2 linked regions of the Tribolium castaneum genome follow. The protein of the gene in region 2 purifies or fractionates together with the protein of the main gene of each other region. This does not show direct contact. Links are inferred from orthologs where the notes say so. Each region holds a gene or a part of one and is shown on either strand. Other genes may lie near its edges.

The links. Proteins that work in one complex are often made in the same cells at the same time.
Region 1: the proteins of Bardet-Biedl syndrome 7 protein homolog (region 2) and BBS4 purify together in Homo sapiens (co-immunoprecipitation; 7 studies listed by BioGRID and IntAct, counting the BioPlex papers as one, with this or other methods). This does not show direct contact. The link is inferred for Tribolium castaneum from reciprocal best matches to the Homo sapiens genes BBS7 and BBS4.

What each region holds. Positions count from the first base shown.
Region 1 is NC_087396.1:20,709,605-20,717,425, reverse strand, and holds part of BBS4 (Bardet-Biedl syndrome 4 protein), read left to right. Parts: coding exon 1-21; intron 22-1,965; coding exon 1,966-2,128; intron 2,129-2,568; coding exon 2,569-2,722; intron 2,723-2,773; coding exon 2,774-2,896; intron 2,897-6,404; coding exon 6,405-6,576; intron 6,577-6,628; coding exon 6,629-6,822; intron 6,823-7,654; coding exon 7,655-7,821.
Region 2 is NC_087402.1:9,075,492-9,084,349, forward strand, and holds Bardet-Biedl syndrome 7 protein homolog, read right to left. Parts: upstream 4,706-8,858; 5' UTR 4,618-4,705; coding exon 4,516-4,617; intron 4,475-4,515; coding exon 4,351-4,474; intron 4,305-4,350; coding exon 4,190-4,304; intron 4,137-4,189; coding exon 4,007-4,136; intron 3,964-4,006; coding exon 3,776-3,963; intron 3,730-3,775; coding exon 3,540-3,729; intron 3,419-3,539; coding exon 3,225-3,418; intron 3,177-3,224; coding exon 3,059-3,176; intron 3,012-3,058; coding exon 2,859-3,011; intron 2,807-2,858; coding exon 2,439-2,806; intron 2,391-2,438; coding exon 2,281-2,390; intron 2,232-2,280; coding exon 2,001-2,231; intron 1,951-2,000; coding exon 1,808-1,950; 3' UTR 1,723-1,807; downstream 1-1,722. Other genes in the region: nose resistant to fluoxetine protein 6, read right to left, coding at 1-42, 130-371, 425-617; uncharacterized protein LOC107397770, read left to right, coding at 6,173-8,858.

The sequences.
Region 1 (7,821 bases), on a different chromosome or scaffold from region 2:
GGCAAATTTATTACAATATTGGTACGAGATATTGTATTACAAACTAAAATCCACTCGGTGTTTTTGGATAAGGAGTGTGAATGTGGCCAATTTTTTAAAAATCAAATTAACACAACCAAAAAAAATTAATAAAAAAACGCTTTTTGATTGGATCGTCGCTTTTGACGAAAAAACTATTTGCCTTTATGCTATATATCATCACTTTAATGTTTGTTTAGTTTCAAAGTAGTAAAATAATAATTAAAAAAAAATGCAAAAATGGTGGATGCGCCTGGATAATTATTTGTTGCAAAGACTTGTACATCACTTATTAATATTAAAAATGCTTAAAATAAATTTTATAACATGAATATGTATATTCGTTATTTGATTCTATTAGAAAAGTACCTAATAGAATGTTTTTTTATTTTGTTAGAAAAAATATTGTTTGACTCATTCGTTCCGATTCTAGAATTCTTTTAAATGGGTTGAAAGTAAATTTCAGTTTTGCTTTTAACGATTAAAATTGTTTAAGATACGTACCATAATAATTCTTTTACCAAAAAAATTTCAACCAAAACGCATGTTTTAAATACCATGAATATTAAAAATTAATAAATCACGAGCTTACTCAAAATTACAGTATTTCACGAAAAATTTTATACAGCCTTGTTTTTTTAGGTTCTTTAGTCTTTATCTATATACAATTCTCTTGTCATTTACAGTAATATTGAAAACCATTTAAGTCAATGCGACTAAAGTTATTTAAAAAACAGATAAAGTTAAAATAATTATCACTTTAGTAATTGTCCATTTGCTGTTTTGTTTTTTATTTTTTTGTTATTTTTTCTAATATTAATGTTTTTTACTTTGCTTCTATATTATTAAGAATACTAGGTATAGGTACTTTTTTCACATTACTTTAAAGAAATTATAAAAAATATATAATTTTTTTTTATTCTGTATATGATTTTTTAGGTAGTCTTGGGATTTTATTTCATACTTTATGTTTTGTTTTCTTTTGAGAGAGGATAAGTTGAATGGCATTGCTGGACCTTGGCTCTTTACATTATTTTTTTTCTTCTTTAATAAAAGCCTTTTTTATTATTATTATTATTATTATTATTATTATTATTATTATTATTATTATTATTATTATTTTATTATTATTATTATTACTATTATTATTATTATTATTATTATTATTAAATATGCATGAAAGTATGTACTCGTAAATTATTGGATCTTTAAATAAAACAAAATTATTTGCCAAAGTTTTGTCGGCAAATTATATTTTTCCAGTTTGGCAGCAAAAAAAACGACCATTATCTTCTTGGAATGTCATCTGAAATAAGCAGAAAAATTACTAAGTTGCATTGAAACTAACATTAAATTTTATTTTTTTAGATTTTCCCAGTACCTTATTACTTTTATCAGTCAGAAAAACAATTCTAAGCTAAGAAAACACAAAAATAGATCGAAAATTATGTAATCTTTCTCTTATTCTGGATTTTCAGCACGTTTTTGAGCTGATCATTTATTTTTCTTGAAGGTTTACCTAATCTGTAAATCTGTTTACTATGTTAACTTAAAAAATCTGAGCCTTTGGCTTGGCTTTTTTCATCGGAAACGCTTAAATACGCCGAAAAATCAGTCAGAAAAGCGTGGAATTTCGCCAAAAATAAACCAAAAATCACAAATTTGGTCACAAAAAACGTGAAGTTTGCTTTTTTCGTACGTTTAAAAGCAGAAATACTTTCAGGTATTTTCGATTTGAAAGTGGCGTTATTTTTGCCTTTAATCAGATTTTATTAACAAAACTCTCGATTTTTTTTTCAATTAAACTTTGTCCAAGTATTCAATTGCTTGTCGCAGTGTTTGATTTCCTGATTTCCACAGCCAGTAAACCCTTATCCAAAAAAAAAATGGTCTCTGGATTATTTTTTCTATAAGCACATTCCTAGTCATGACTTTTCTATCACAAAGGCCAATGTCTGATGAGACTCGGCGAAACAGCCAAATCAAAGGAATACGCACACAAAGCTGTCCAATTGGGGAAACACGAAGCCGCTTATTCGCTCCTCATCAAAATACTTACATCAGAAGGTGATCTACGAAGCGCCATTTCAGTGTGTAACGCTGCAATCGAGTGAGTAAAAAATTACACAAGATTTGTTGTTAAAAAAAGCCTTTGCGCGTTTGATTTGAATTTATATGGCGTACTTTTGAAGTCGTGAAAGAGGAAAATTCAAACGAGGCAGCGATGATGCATACATATTTTATGAATTTATTCGACTTCCGTTTCATGTCGCAGTTTCGCGTCTGCACATTTAACTTGACACCGTGTAGAAAACGCACTTTTTGCGTAGGTAAACATCGGAATTTTCTCGAATTAGGCGCAGACAGTAAAATTTATTTCCAGAATTCCACCTCTTATTTGCTTATGATAACAGGCGTTTCTCCGCCTGATCATAAAAATATCGGTTTTCAATCAATGTAAGACGTTCGAAAAGTTTCCCAATAACGGCATGAATACATTACGGCATAATGAGCATCCTGAATTTGATATTAAAAAAACGCACTTTCTAGATCCTGCCCAGACAGTGTTAACTTGCTGACTGAAACAGGCCTTTTGTGTCTGAAGTTGGGGCAGACACAGTTTGCATTCGAGCGATTGAGTTCCGCTCTAGCTCTAGATCCGGTTTGTGCAAAAGCTCTACTTGGGATCGGATGCATCACTCAAGTAATACATCTCCAAATTGCGGAAACAGTTTTATTGGATGATTTGTTTCAGTCGCACGATGAGCACGATGTCGCTTTGACCAAATACAAAGTGGCTGTTTCGTACGAGCCGAATTCGGTGGCGCTTTGGAATAACATTGGACTGTGTTTCTACTCTAAACAAAAATATGTGGCGGTAGGTGAATGGGTCCAGGGGAAAAACCCATGAAATTTTATTGTATTATTTTTTTAACACAGAGTTGTCCAATTTTTAATTTATTTGAGATCATCAGTATCAATAATTCAACATTAAACTGCTACAGGGGCGTTACTTTGAATGGCGGACTCAAAAATCTAGAAAAATTTAAAACTGTAGCCTAATTAGAAAAACGTGCTTTAGGGGTAGATATTTGATCATTGATATACTTAGGTAAAAAATAATTGGACTTTTCGTAATCTATTTTTCTCAAAAAAAATTGTTTTCCGATTAATAGTTTTTGAGAAAACTGCAAACAATGCAATAATTATAAAAAAAAATTGTAACTTAAAAACCATCGAAAATTTGGCAATTTTTTTGACGCCAATCCATTTCCCGGATTATTTTACGTTGGTTTACATTAAAAAAGTTCCACTTTTTCGAATGGTTTTGCTGTAATCGACGTTTGAAAAGTGATTGTGTGAATATTTCAACATGTTTTTTGACATTCATTGGGCAATAACTTTGGAACTAATAGACATAACCCTATTATGTTTATTATCGTTGGAAAGCTCTTTTGATTTACAATTCTTTCCAAAAAAGATCATTGTTCTGCGATGAATAGTTTTTGCGAAAATTGCAAACAAAGCAAAAATTAAAAAAAAAATCACAACTTAAAAACCATTGAGAATTTGCCAATTTTCTCGACGCCAATGGATTTGCCAGATCATTTTACATAAGTTTAAATTAAAATAGTTCTACTTTTTTGAATATTTTTTTTGTAATCGGCGTTTGAAAAGTGATTGTGTGAATATTTCAACATGTTTTTGATATTCATCGGGCAATAACTTTGGAACAATAGACATAACCTTATTATGTTTATTATCGTTAGAAAGCTCTTTTAATATTCTATTTTTTTCAAAAAAAAATCATTGTTTTGCGATGAATAGTTTTTGTAAAAATTGCAAATAAAGCAAAAATTAAAAAAAATCACAACTTAAAAACCATTAAGAATTTGTCAATTTTCTCGACGCCAATCGATTTCTCAGATCATTTTACATACGTTTATGTTAAAATAGTTTCACTTTTTTGAATAGCTTTGCTGTAATCGACATTTGAAAAGTACTTGTGTGAATATTTCAACATGTTTTCGACATTCTTCCGGCAAGAACTCCTGAACTAATAGACATAACCCTATTATGTTTATTATCGCTGGAAAGCTCTTTTGATATTGTATTCTTCTCAAAAAAGATCATTGTTTTCCAATTAATAGTTTTTACAAAAATTGCAAATAAAGCAAAAATTTAAAAAAAATCACAACTTTAAAACCATTGAGAATTTGTCAATTTTCTCGACGCCAATCGATTTCCCAGATCATTTTACATACATTTGTGTTAAAATAGTTCCACTTTTTCAAATAGCTTTGCTGTAATCGACATTCGAAAAGTACTTGTGTGAATATTTCAACATGTTTTCGACATTCATCCAGCAATAACTTCGGAACTAATAGACATAACCCTATTATGTTTATTATCGCTGGAAAGCTTTTTTGATATTGTATTCTTTTCAAAAAAAATTATTGTTCTCCGATAAATAGTTTTTGCGAAAATTGCAAACAAAGCAAAGATTAAAAAAAAATCACAACTTTAAAACCATTAAGAATTTGTCAATTTTTTCGACTCCAATCGATTTCTCAGATCATTTTACATACGTTTATGTTAAAATAGTTTCACTTTTTCGAATAGCTTTGCTGTAATCGACATTTGAAAAGTACTTGTGTGAATATTTCAACATGTTTTCGACATTCTTCCGGCAATAACTCCTGAACTAATAGACATAACCCTATTATGTTTATTATCGCTGAAAAGCTCTTTTGATATTGTATTCTTCTCAAAAAAAAATATTGTTCTCCGATAAATAGTTTTTGCGAAAATTGCAAACAAAGCAAAGATTAAAAAAAAATCACAACTTTAAAACCATTAAGAATTTGTCAATTTTCTCGACGTCAATCGATTTCCCAGATCATTTTACATACATTTGTGTTAAAATAGATCCACTTTTTCAAATAGCTTTGCTGTAATCGACATTCGAAAAGTACTTGTGTGAATATTTCAACATATTTTCGACATTCATCCAGCAATAACTTCGGAACTAATAGACATAACCCTATTATGTTTATTATCGCTGGAAAGCTCTTTTGATATTGTATTCTTCTCAAAAAAAATCATTGTTCTCCGATAAATAGTTTTTGCGAAAATTGCAAACAAAGCAAAGATTAAAAAAAAATCACAACTTTAAAACCATTAAGAATTTGTCAATTTTCTCGACGCCAATCGATTTCTCAGATCATTTTACATACATTTGTGTTAAAATAGTTCCACTTTTTCAAATAGCTTTGCTGTAATCGACATTCGAAAAGTACTTGTGTGAATATTTCAACATGTTTTCGACATTCTTGCGGCAATAACTCCTGAACTAATAGACATAACCCTATTATGTTTATTATCGCTGGAAAGCTCTTTTGATATTGTATTCTTCTCAAAAAAAATCATTGTTCTCCGATAAATAGTTTTTGCGAAAATTGGAAACAAAGCAAAAATTAAAAAAAAATTACAACTTAAAAACCATTGAGAATTTGTCAATTTTCTCAACGCCAATGGATTTCCCAGATCATTTTACATAAGTTTTAATTAAAATAGTTCCACTTTTTCGAATGGTTTTGCTGTAATCGGTGTTTGAAAAGTGATTTTGTGAATATTTCAACATGCTTTTGACATTCATCCGGCAATAACTTCGGAACTAATAGACATAACTTTATTATGTTTATTATCGTTGGAAAGCTCTTTTGATATTCTATTCTTTTTAAAAAAGATTATTGTTCTCCGATTAATAGTTTTTGCGAAAATTGCAAACAAAGCAAAAATTAAAAAAAAATTACGACTTGAAAACCATTGAGAATTTGTCAATTTTCTCGACACCAGTCGATTTCCCAGATAATTTTACATAAGTTTATATTAAAATAGCTCAACTTTTTCGAATAGTTATGCCGTAATCAACGTTTGAACAGTGAATATTTTTGACATTTATCGGTCAATAACGCCGGAACTATTAGACGTAACCCCCTTAAGTCTATTATCGTTGAAAAAAAACTTTGTACTCTGATTAATACTTTTCGAAAAAATTGCAAACAAATACAAAAATTAAAGTGCAGTTTTCAACTCTCCGTTATGATTAAACTGGAATTGTGTTCGTTGATTTTTTTCCAAGCAGTCACCGTGGTTTTTAAGCCTTCTGTAATAATGGCTCCATCTGGAACGTTCTGATTCTTTTAATAATCCTTACCTACACTGCATCTGCCTACTTATTGGTATTTATAGCCGCGGAAATAAGTGTGTGCCTTTGGTAAAAAGTTGCAGCTTTTGTCGGTGGGTTTTTTCCTTTGTGCGCCCACTCCCAAATTTATTTTATATCCTTCGTTTAAATTTACATAGTCGGTTGTTTGTTGCAGGCAATAAGCTGCTTGAAGCGGGCCTTATGGATATCGCCAACAAACTGGCGAGTGCTTTTTAACTTGGGTTTAGTTCATCTTGCCACTTATCAGCCCGCATCTGCGTTTAACTTCTTATGTGCTGCTGTCAATCTGCGGCCAGACGTGCCTCATTCCTTCACAGGATTAGGATGTAAATTTGTAGCGGGAAGTTTCCTTCCTGCCAAAAATTGCTCAATTTTTAGGTGCCTTATTTGAATTGAACGATGGAGAGAACGCAGAAAGGGCCTTCAAGCAGGCGATGGCTCTGGCTCCGGACGATCCGGTCATTGTTGTTAATAATGTCGTTTGTTTGGCGGGGATGGACCGGAAGGAGGAGGCAAAGGATTTGTTTCAGAAATTTAACAGTTTGCTGCAGGATGGGGTTGTTTCGAAGGAGGTAGGCTAAGGAGGCAGTGGCGTAACTCAGTACATTCGGGGCAATTTTAATAAAAAATATTAGCTGTTTTTTTAATATATTACACAAAAACTAAAAATAACGTAAAAAATTGCATTTTAAAGGGGGTATAAAAAGTACAGCAAAAAAAATTCGACCTAAAAAAGTATGTAAATTCAAAAACTACAAAAGTCTAAATTTTTCCAAAACTTCGACTTCAAATCAAGCAATAATCATGTATGATGGGAAATTCTTGGCAAGGGTAATATCTACCCTAAATACTTTCAGTGGTGTTTGTTTACCTCATCTTCCCTGAAAGCATTGGAATTTCCAAAATATTTTTCCAAAAATTTGATTTTTTTTAATTAATTTCCGAAATATTTAGCTTTCTTCAATTGCCATTAATTAGTTTTCCACAAAAATTTAAAATTTGAGGTTAGCCATTTCATAAAGGAAAACTTAATTTTTTAACAAAAAAAATCATAACTTAAAAACTAGAAGTCCTAGAGTCAAAAATTTGTTCCAGTAAACTCTAAGGCTCATTTTACGTATTACGCTATTTTTTTTACAACAAAAGCTTACTCTAGAACTCATTTAAAAGCCTACTTTAATTTGAAAAATGGTGGATGCGCCGGGTTATTTATTAAAATGTCATAACTTTAAAACTAAAAATTGTAAAGCAAAACGGTTTATTCCAATAAATTTTGCGTTTAATTCTGTGTATTATACCAACTTTTCACAAAATTTAAAATTTTTGGTCAAATTTTATGCGCAAAAATTTTAAGTTACGCCACTGGCGTAGTTTGATCCGGAGGGAGTTTAAAGTGTGTTTTAGGTCGTGGCCATCGCCGAGAAATTGGCAACGGTGTTTGAGGTGGATGGAAATGACGAAAGTTATAAAAATGAAGAGAGTAAAGACGTTATAAATAAAAGTATCAACGAAACGGATGAACTTGCCAGTGGTGACTTATCGCCCAGGGAACTTGCAGCTGATGAAGTGTA
Region 2 (8,858 bases):
AAATTCGTTCCTAGTGTTGCGAGACCTTTTATTCGAAAATGCCTAAAATTGTTAAAAATGCAAAAATCCATCAACAAGGTGATAATTTATTTATGCAAATACTGTTTCACAAAAACCTGATTTACTCACAATCATTTTTTCCCACGTGGAGGCATTAATAAAATAATTATCTCCGTTAAAAAAACGTGCGTATTTTTGTTCCTCATGCTTGAAATCGGGTGGTGCGATGTGAAATTTGGCCATACAGTACCTCCCCTGTATTTTTTCCTCGGTCACAGGTCCACTCACTTCGACGCATTCGTCAAAATTTCCAAAATCGTAGGTCGAGCCCGACAAAAGGCCGGTGGGGAATTTGGACGAAGCATCAAACACTGTTAAAAATGATGTATTAAACACTGGAGCACCACCGACACGAAAAACCTACTTTCCGTCGCCCACAGTCTCAATTTTTTCAACTCTTCGACGTAAAAAATCGTGTCATTTCGGCACTGGGGGTTGTCCGAATTGAGCGTCGGTACCAAAATGTGCAAAACTTCTTCCAGAGGCACGCTTCCGAATTGGACAGCTCGGGCCAAGTTGAAGAAAACGCACAAAACTAGAGCTTTGTATCCGATCATTGTGACATAATTCTTGCAAATGGACGAAAAGCTTCAGCAACGCTTCGCTATAAAGGACTAGAGACTGACGAATTTCAGACGGGAAGGTCACTTCAGCTGGAAAAAACAACGCTAATGGTGGAAGTGGAAATTGTTGGTGGATTTTTCAGAACGCCGGGTTTATTGGACAAGATTCAGTTAATTAAGTAAATTTGTACGTACCTAGAGTCACCTTGAGAATAACCAGCTCTTCGTAAAGTGGTGAAAAACTAGCACTGGGCACTTGTTGAGATGGACTTGTTTGTTCCTGAAAGGGATTATTAATACCACATTTTTTCGCGTTTTTCGCAGGTATATAGCTAATCTTGAGGGTAGCGCATTGACCCAAGTTTTTGGACTGGTTTCAGTCGCAAGCCCCATTCGCGGGGTATGGAATTTTTTCAACGGACTCAAAACACCGGAATTTTTATCAACGAGATACCATAATTATGCACTGGGATTCCACCGTTTGTACTACTTGTGTCGTTCACTAATTACATTTGTGTTTTGATAGGTAATGACCCAAAATTTTCAAATTGTAGCTGATAAGAGCTCGTCATTTTAATAATAATAATTATTGTTTTAACTGAATTAAAAATTTGACAACTCATTGGCATTAACATGAGGTAGTAACAGAAAAATTTTGCTATCTCGAGTGATCACATTGCCTGAAAGCTTTAGAATTTTTATCACATCAGAAAAAACAAATAAGCATAATGATGCTAAGATATTTTTCGTGTACCCGAACTGAAATATTTGAAGAAATAGTCCGTGTTACACATGTGTTTAAATCCAAGGTTTCGTTTTTTAAATTTTCAATAAAAAAGGGAAAGAATTTTATTTTGCGGTAAAGTTTCTGGTTCTGTGTGAATTATTCATTATTGTGTCCGCTAAAGTTTCCATTAAGAGTTTTATTCGAGAATTTCTTTAGAGACAAAAAGCAGATTGTTTGGAAATTAAAAATTAAAATTATTCACCTTTAGACTACATGCAGTTAAAAAATTCCGCAACACACAACCACTCACTCAAACCAATTAAAAATTTAAAACAGTTTTTAAGTTGTCGGGTACCATAGTAAAAAACTAGCCACTAAGCAAATTTTTATTTAAATAAACAGAAACAACGACATTGAAAATGCACATTCGACTGAGTAATCATAATATTTTCCAATGCTATTTAGACAATTCTGGGCGGAAAAATTGTATCAAGGCATCATAAGAGTACTCATCAAGGATCTCCCGGAGAGTCGCTAATTTCGATTTTACGTTGCACCCCTTGAACTTGTTGTAATCAATGTATAAGTCAGTAACAATACCTGGAAAAATCAAATCAATTACTGTTAGTGTATCGAGTCAATTTTAGTACCATAAAGACGATCTAAATAATCAGGTTGGCTCTGAAACTCCTTCCTTAGTTCTTTTTCATTAGCCAACAAATTTCGGTACTTTTCCGACAAACAAGTCCTGTTTTCTTCTTCTGTCACTTCTAACTCATTCAAAGCGTTCAACAACTTAATATCGTTATTCAAATCCTTCTGCTTAATTAACTTTGGTTCGATCAGCTTAATTACATGATTAATACTTTCATCGTTGATATCTAGAACCCCAAAGTAGTACCGTTGTTAATAATAATTATTGTAACTAACTTGAGCTAATGCTAATTTTAATTTTTTTCTTTGTGGCTTCCACCGTTAGAAATTCTTTCAAAATAGAGATTGTTGACACGTTATCAGATTTAAAGAACGCTTCTCCTTTCCTAAAAGTCAAGTCAGTCACTAGGTACTCAAAACTTGGTACTATTTACTGGTAGGAGCACTGTAAGATGGTTCCGAAAAAAGTCGACTGGAAATACAGCACCGTATTTTCCCCAAATTGGGGCTTTTCGGGTACTTCGGGCAAACTTTGCGACACCCAAGTGTGCATTTCGGCCAAACTGAAAGTACCGGTGATTGTCAAAGTGTTAAACAATCGACTCTCGTCAAATTTGTGAATCCTGTAATGCAAAGAAAGCGGTTTAATTTCGAACTGTATAAGCCTGCTACATTTTGGTTGGACCAGAGGCGTGACATAAGCGTGGAGAAGACCGTGTTGACCCTCAATGGTTCTAATTTTAATTTCGAGCCGGTTGGTATTGACCTGACACCGGTAAGTGGCCAGTAAAAAATTTCCGATCTGTATTATTTCAGCTTGTAAACAAACAGACATTTAGAGTTTATTAACTCACGGCGTGATCCGCATCGCTGTAACTGATCACGGCCGAATTTTTCTCCACGTCTAGCAAGTCGATAGCGACGTTGCTTTGCAGGAGAATATTGTCGATAGCCGTTGGAACCTCTAAAGTCAAGGTATAAGTCGCTGTGTCTTTAGATAACACGAACTGGAAATCAAAGCTTGAGCGAAAATTTTCCCACTGCGTCACCTAACTGAATCTTTGACTGAAAGCAAGGGAATTGCCGACAACTCCTCGAAGAAAGATTGGGTCGAGTTTTGATATTTCTCTCGTTCTTTGGCCACTTTGACTTGCAAGTCCTCAATTTCGCTCCTGCAAAGAGGGATAAAAATTCCGAACGGGGTTTTTGACCAAATTTACTTCAATTTGTTGATTTTGTTCCCCGTATCTTGCGAAAAAATGTAATTGCCCATGGTGTTGTCAGCTACGCTTTTGTCAACTGCCTCCGTGGTGAGGCCGAAAATTCGGCCAGTGTAGGTCACCACCAACACTTCGTCGAAACCTTGGGTTCCGATGACCCCACATTGCAATGATGAAACACTTTCGTTGCAATTCTGCAGGAAAAAGTGATAGTGACATTGATCTTGATCATATAGAACCGGTTGGAAGTCTTATTAATCGGTTTTTGTCTGCGTGAGCTGGGTCGATGAATCGACCAAGGTCGGTAGTACTCACATGGGAATAAATCAGGATTGGGGCGTCTAAATTATCATTTACATTGATAACGTATACTTCAATGGTGCCATCTTGGCGCCCTAAAATCAGGTTTTTGGTACCGCTGCTGGTCATGTCGTAAGAGTCCACGCACGAGATGGTACTCGAGTTTGAGGAATTGTCGATAAGCCAGCGGTCAAAGCCGTGCAATCTATTTACGAAAAATTAACTATAAATCAATTCGATTTTTTATTTACTTTTCCACGTCTAGAATCCCAATTCGGCCGTCCACGGTACCAAACAGCACTGTCTTGGTACCATCCTGTTCAAGGACATGAAGAAGAGTTGGTGCACTCTCAACCTCCATACTCAGAGTGACCCTTGCATGTTCCAAGGCTCGTATCATTCGTCCTTCACACGCAATCAAGGACATAAGCCTACGAGTCTGAACCTTTGTTATTTATTGCAATTCAGAATAATTTTTATACCTTGTCAGCATAAAACGCGATTACGTCGACGATTTGATCACCACATAAATACGAACCCACATCTTTACAATCCCTGAAGTGATTGTAGATGTGTTTGCCGCACAAAAATAAATCGTTGCCCAAAACAAACCTACAGCATTTTATTAGGGACAAATTATTTTAACTGTATATACGAGTCCTAACATTGACGAGACGGGTTCAGTCATTCCTGGGTCAAAAGTCAGAAACAGTTTCCCTTTTTTGGTGTACCCCCTTATTTCATTTTCCGCAGCAATAAATATTTTATCGCTTGAGCTCCCTTGAAGTAAATTAATGACCACGTTGCGGTTTAGAAGGATAGTTACCGTGAGCGCCACCTAGTTGCAAGGACGATATTTTAGGTCCTGGCAATGTTTTAAAATGTAATTGAATATCCTCTTTCTTGACTGAGAATATTTGTAAAATTCCGTCACTGTCAGCTACTGCAACCTTTAATTTGGGTTATTTATGGCCGGGTTGAAGTAGCTTACCTTTTGGGGTTCTTTCGACGCGCTTGGTGGCAGGAGTTTGAGGCAGTTTTGAGACGTAATGCCCACAATAGTATAATCGACTCGTGATAATTCCAATTCCATTTTATTTTTTGTTTTGGATTAATGAAGATTGCTTTGTCAGACTATGCAGGGAAAATCGATGAGGGAGGTAGGGAGGGACATGCTGGTTGCTAAGTTTGAATACAAACACTGTTTTCTAGCTCGAAATTCGTTTATTTCCCAATAAGATAGGTTTTTATGTAGCGTATCCAAAAATGCGTATTATAGTATTTGTTACAAATTCTTGTGGTCGGGAATAGCCTACGGGCCATTCTTTCCGTTGCAAACATTTCGGTGGCCAAAAAAAAAACAATTAAGGAGATTATTTAAATCACATTGTTAGACCGAATTCGGCTTTTTTCTCCGGCTAAATTTAAATAAGCAAGTTTTTGGCCCAATCACTGGCTAAATCATTCAAAATTGACTGAAATTACATAAACAAATACCTCATAAATAATTAATAATAAGATATGCCGATGTTTTCAGTTAGTTGTTATTTTTTTTTATATTTTTATTTACCTACCTATAGGTATGTTTAGTTACCTACATTTTTTTAAATACCTACCTTTCGGTTTGTTTTTTTTAACATTCCTTGTTCTTGTTATCATAAATAATTATTTAACCATAATTCAAAATTCATTCATCTGTTGGAGCGATGACACTCCGACCATTGCACTCAACGATGAGTAACCTCATGGTAGTGTAAAAACCCAAAAGCCAGTAACATAATGATGATTGATGAGGAAAGTAAAGATTATTTAATATGTATACATATTGAGAGTTTTGACTTCGTGCAATGACATGCATTTTTGCATTTCCTATGTAAGCCACACTTATAATAATGTAATAGGTACGACTTCTTCTTCCAAATTCCTTTTCTAAAACTTTCCATTCTTGTTTTTTGGGAACATAATGTCGTCAGAGGTGGCTTTTTTATTTTAATTTATCAAAGTATCAAAGTCAACAAATACTGACTTGTATGCAAATTTCTTATTTTAATATCTATTTTCGTAAACGGTTGTTTTTCAATTCAGATTTTAATTTTTTTTACAAAAATTTTTTTGAATTTAAATGAATTTTTTACGGCACAGTTTGTTGGATAAAACTAAAAAAGTAGAACTTGATTTTTGCGTATTTTCCAATAACTAGTCGCAATTTTATTGCAAAGAATGACTAATGAACGACCTGAAAAATATTTAGGAAGCGACCTTGATCAAATGTACACAAAAAGTGAGTAATCTAATCTCATACGGTGTAAGTTTATAAAAAAATCGCATTGTACGCGTATAAGGAGTGAGCTGTAATTTTGAAACTTGAGTTTTTTGCAACTTTTCAACAAAAAAAGGTAAATCCAACTTATCCAACTTGTATTGATCAAGATAGAAATTCGTTGCAATTTATTCAGCTTAACCTCAAAAACCTTTTTGTATTATTTCGCAACTATATGATATTTTGTTTATATATCATTAAGATAACGTAATAATGCTCATTAAATCTCAATCTACCCACCTTCATAAGGCATCAAAATCAAAATTATTTTGGGTGTATAGTTGGTTGCCTAGCCACTTGCATTTTTAACATTTTTCCAGTTGATATTATGGACGTAAAGGAGTTCACACAACGCTTCCACAATCTCGCCGGTGTCACAATCGGTGAAAAAAGGAAGTCTCTCTTTATCCTTCTGCGAAACTTACCTTCAGATCAGTCTGCCCTCATCACTTCCATAACTCCCAAAAATCATTTGGAACAACTTTTTAAGTTGGAAGTTTTAATCCGACTACAAAGTATCCCCCATTTAATCGAAGTACTTAAATGCGAAGAAGAACTCCTTCCCGCAAAATTATTAAAAAACAAGTGGTTTTGCCAAAAACTGGCATCGATTCTTGACGAAGACAGCTCAAATTTTGTGAACACTATTCTCCCCTTTACATCTTTCGTCATACGAATGAGAATAATCGCAAAACTTGCTCTGTACGGTACGAAAATGGACAATGTGTACGACGATATTTACAAGCGATATGGGTTCCACATTGCGACGAAGGTTTTGGTAGGTTGCAGCGAATCAAAAATTCGAAATGTTTTGCAAAACGGAGACGTCGTTCTCTCGCCTCGCGACCTCAAAATATTGTACCTTAAACACCCACAAGTGTTTCAATTTTATTTGAAACAGAACGGTTCCATTGACGATGACTCAGTTTTGAGTTTTGTTGCACGAAGAGATAAGAAAACGTTCCTCGAGCTAATGAAAACTTTCAAATTACGGGCAAACATTGGTAAACGACTCACCAGACACTTGTTGAACACTTACAATGATTTAATAATCGCACAAGCAAAAACACTGAGTACGTGTCTTCGCATGAAAACAGTCATCAAAACACTAAGTCAAGACGATTTTAAGAGATTTTTCTTCAACTGTTTGCCCGAAACTTTCGAAGGCTTGCGTTATGCCTCTTACGAAATGCAGCGAAAAATTGGGAAAAAATATTACAAACTGCTTTTGGAAGGAATGAAAGAGGTTTATAATAAGAGTTTGTACGATTATCCCGACTACGTCAGTGAAGATATGATGCGATTTATGGATGTTGAAGAAAGGGAAAAGTGGATCGAACTGAAGAAGAAAAGTGGTACCCCGGAAGCAGATTTGGTCAAATTTATGAGACCCTCTCTTTCCATTCCTTGGATTAAAAATAAAATTAATGTTACGTCCGCTGTTACGTCCCGAGATGACCTCGCTTGTCTGCTCCTTGAAACGTGCAAAATAAACAATGATTTGCACGCGTTGGCCGAAGTTTTGGAATATTTTTGCAAGAGACACAGAAATGACGATGAAAGTGTCATACGCAACTTTCTATACAAACTTAGCAATTTGTACAAAATTGAAAAATTTGAAGAACGCCACTGGAAATGTATCAACACGCTAAATAATATTCTGGACATGAAGGGACACAATTCTTACTTCGGTTACGATTACGAGCTTAAATATGTCGAATTTTTGTTCTCCAATAAGAAATTAACCGACGAGCACGTGTATAAATTTTTGAAACTAACCAAAGGGGTTAATTACTGGGAGAACAAAGTCAAGAGTGAACCTTTGAAAAAAATATTTCTATTAAAAACTATTGAACTCATGCCCGAACTGACGGACGAGAAGAAAGGAATCCACTTGGAGGATTTGTTAATCATAAGCTGGATTTTTGGTTGGAACAAAAAACACCCCAATGACCAGATTAATTTTTTAAGTTACCCCAGATTGGCAGAATCGTTTCGTAAGGCACAAAACGAGGCACTGAATACCACCGAATTCAATCTAAAACGGAGAACTTTGTCGCACTTATACGAAACCATCATATGTACGAAAGAAAAGTCACAATTCCGAGAAGACACAATAAAAAATTACTTTCTGCTAGATTACCCGTTTTACAATGAAACAATTGATTTCTGGTTATTGAAACATGAACCAGAAATTGTTGACAAACATTTCGAAAAGTTTGCCGACCACATTCTAGGCACCGTACGACCAAACTGGCAAATTGTGAATATCCTGAAAAAATATTCACAATTTCATTTTGCTGAAAGATTAGTCAAACGTTGCGTCGAAAATGTGAAGGATGGTCGAGAGACATTATTCATGTTCCTTGCGGCGCTTATGCTAACGCAGGACTTCGTCCAAATAATTGCACCTTTTTACCCTCCTAACAATAAAATCGACGAAAGCAGCGAAGAAGAAAGAATGAAAGGCTACCGAGCATTTGCCGTTTCGGCAAGTTTGAAATACGCCACCGGTTTTGTTCTCCCTACTATCATCACATACTGCAAAGGTGATTTTTTGGGTGGGGCTTTAGAGTGCCTATATTACCACTTTTACCACACCCCGGAAAACAAGTTGAGCGCTTTCATCAACGAGTTATCATCAAGAGCAGTTTCGGTGCGTAAACACGCAATTTTCCTAACTTGTCAAGTAGCAACAGTTGAAGACACCCAAAACTTAATCAAAAAATACCTCGAGACGGAACGTAACATCTCGGTCCAAAAACACTTATTTACCGCAGCTTTGAAATATTTCGTTAAAAATCCTTCCGAGGATTTTTGGGAGTGTGTCACGATTTGTATGAAGAATTTGGACAAAAACGACAATGAGAGTTTCGATTTGTTGGTCGATGTGTCTAAAATACCACAAAAATACAAAGCGAGACACGTAATGTTGGTGTGGGAAATGTTGAAAGTATCGGAGGATTTAGCCCCGAAAAGGACAAGTCTATTATCGTCAATCCCTTCGGATGTCT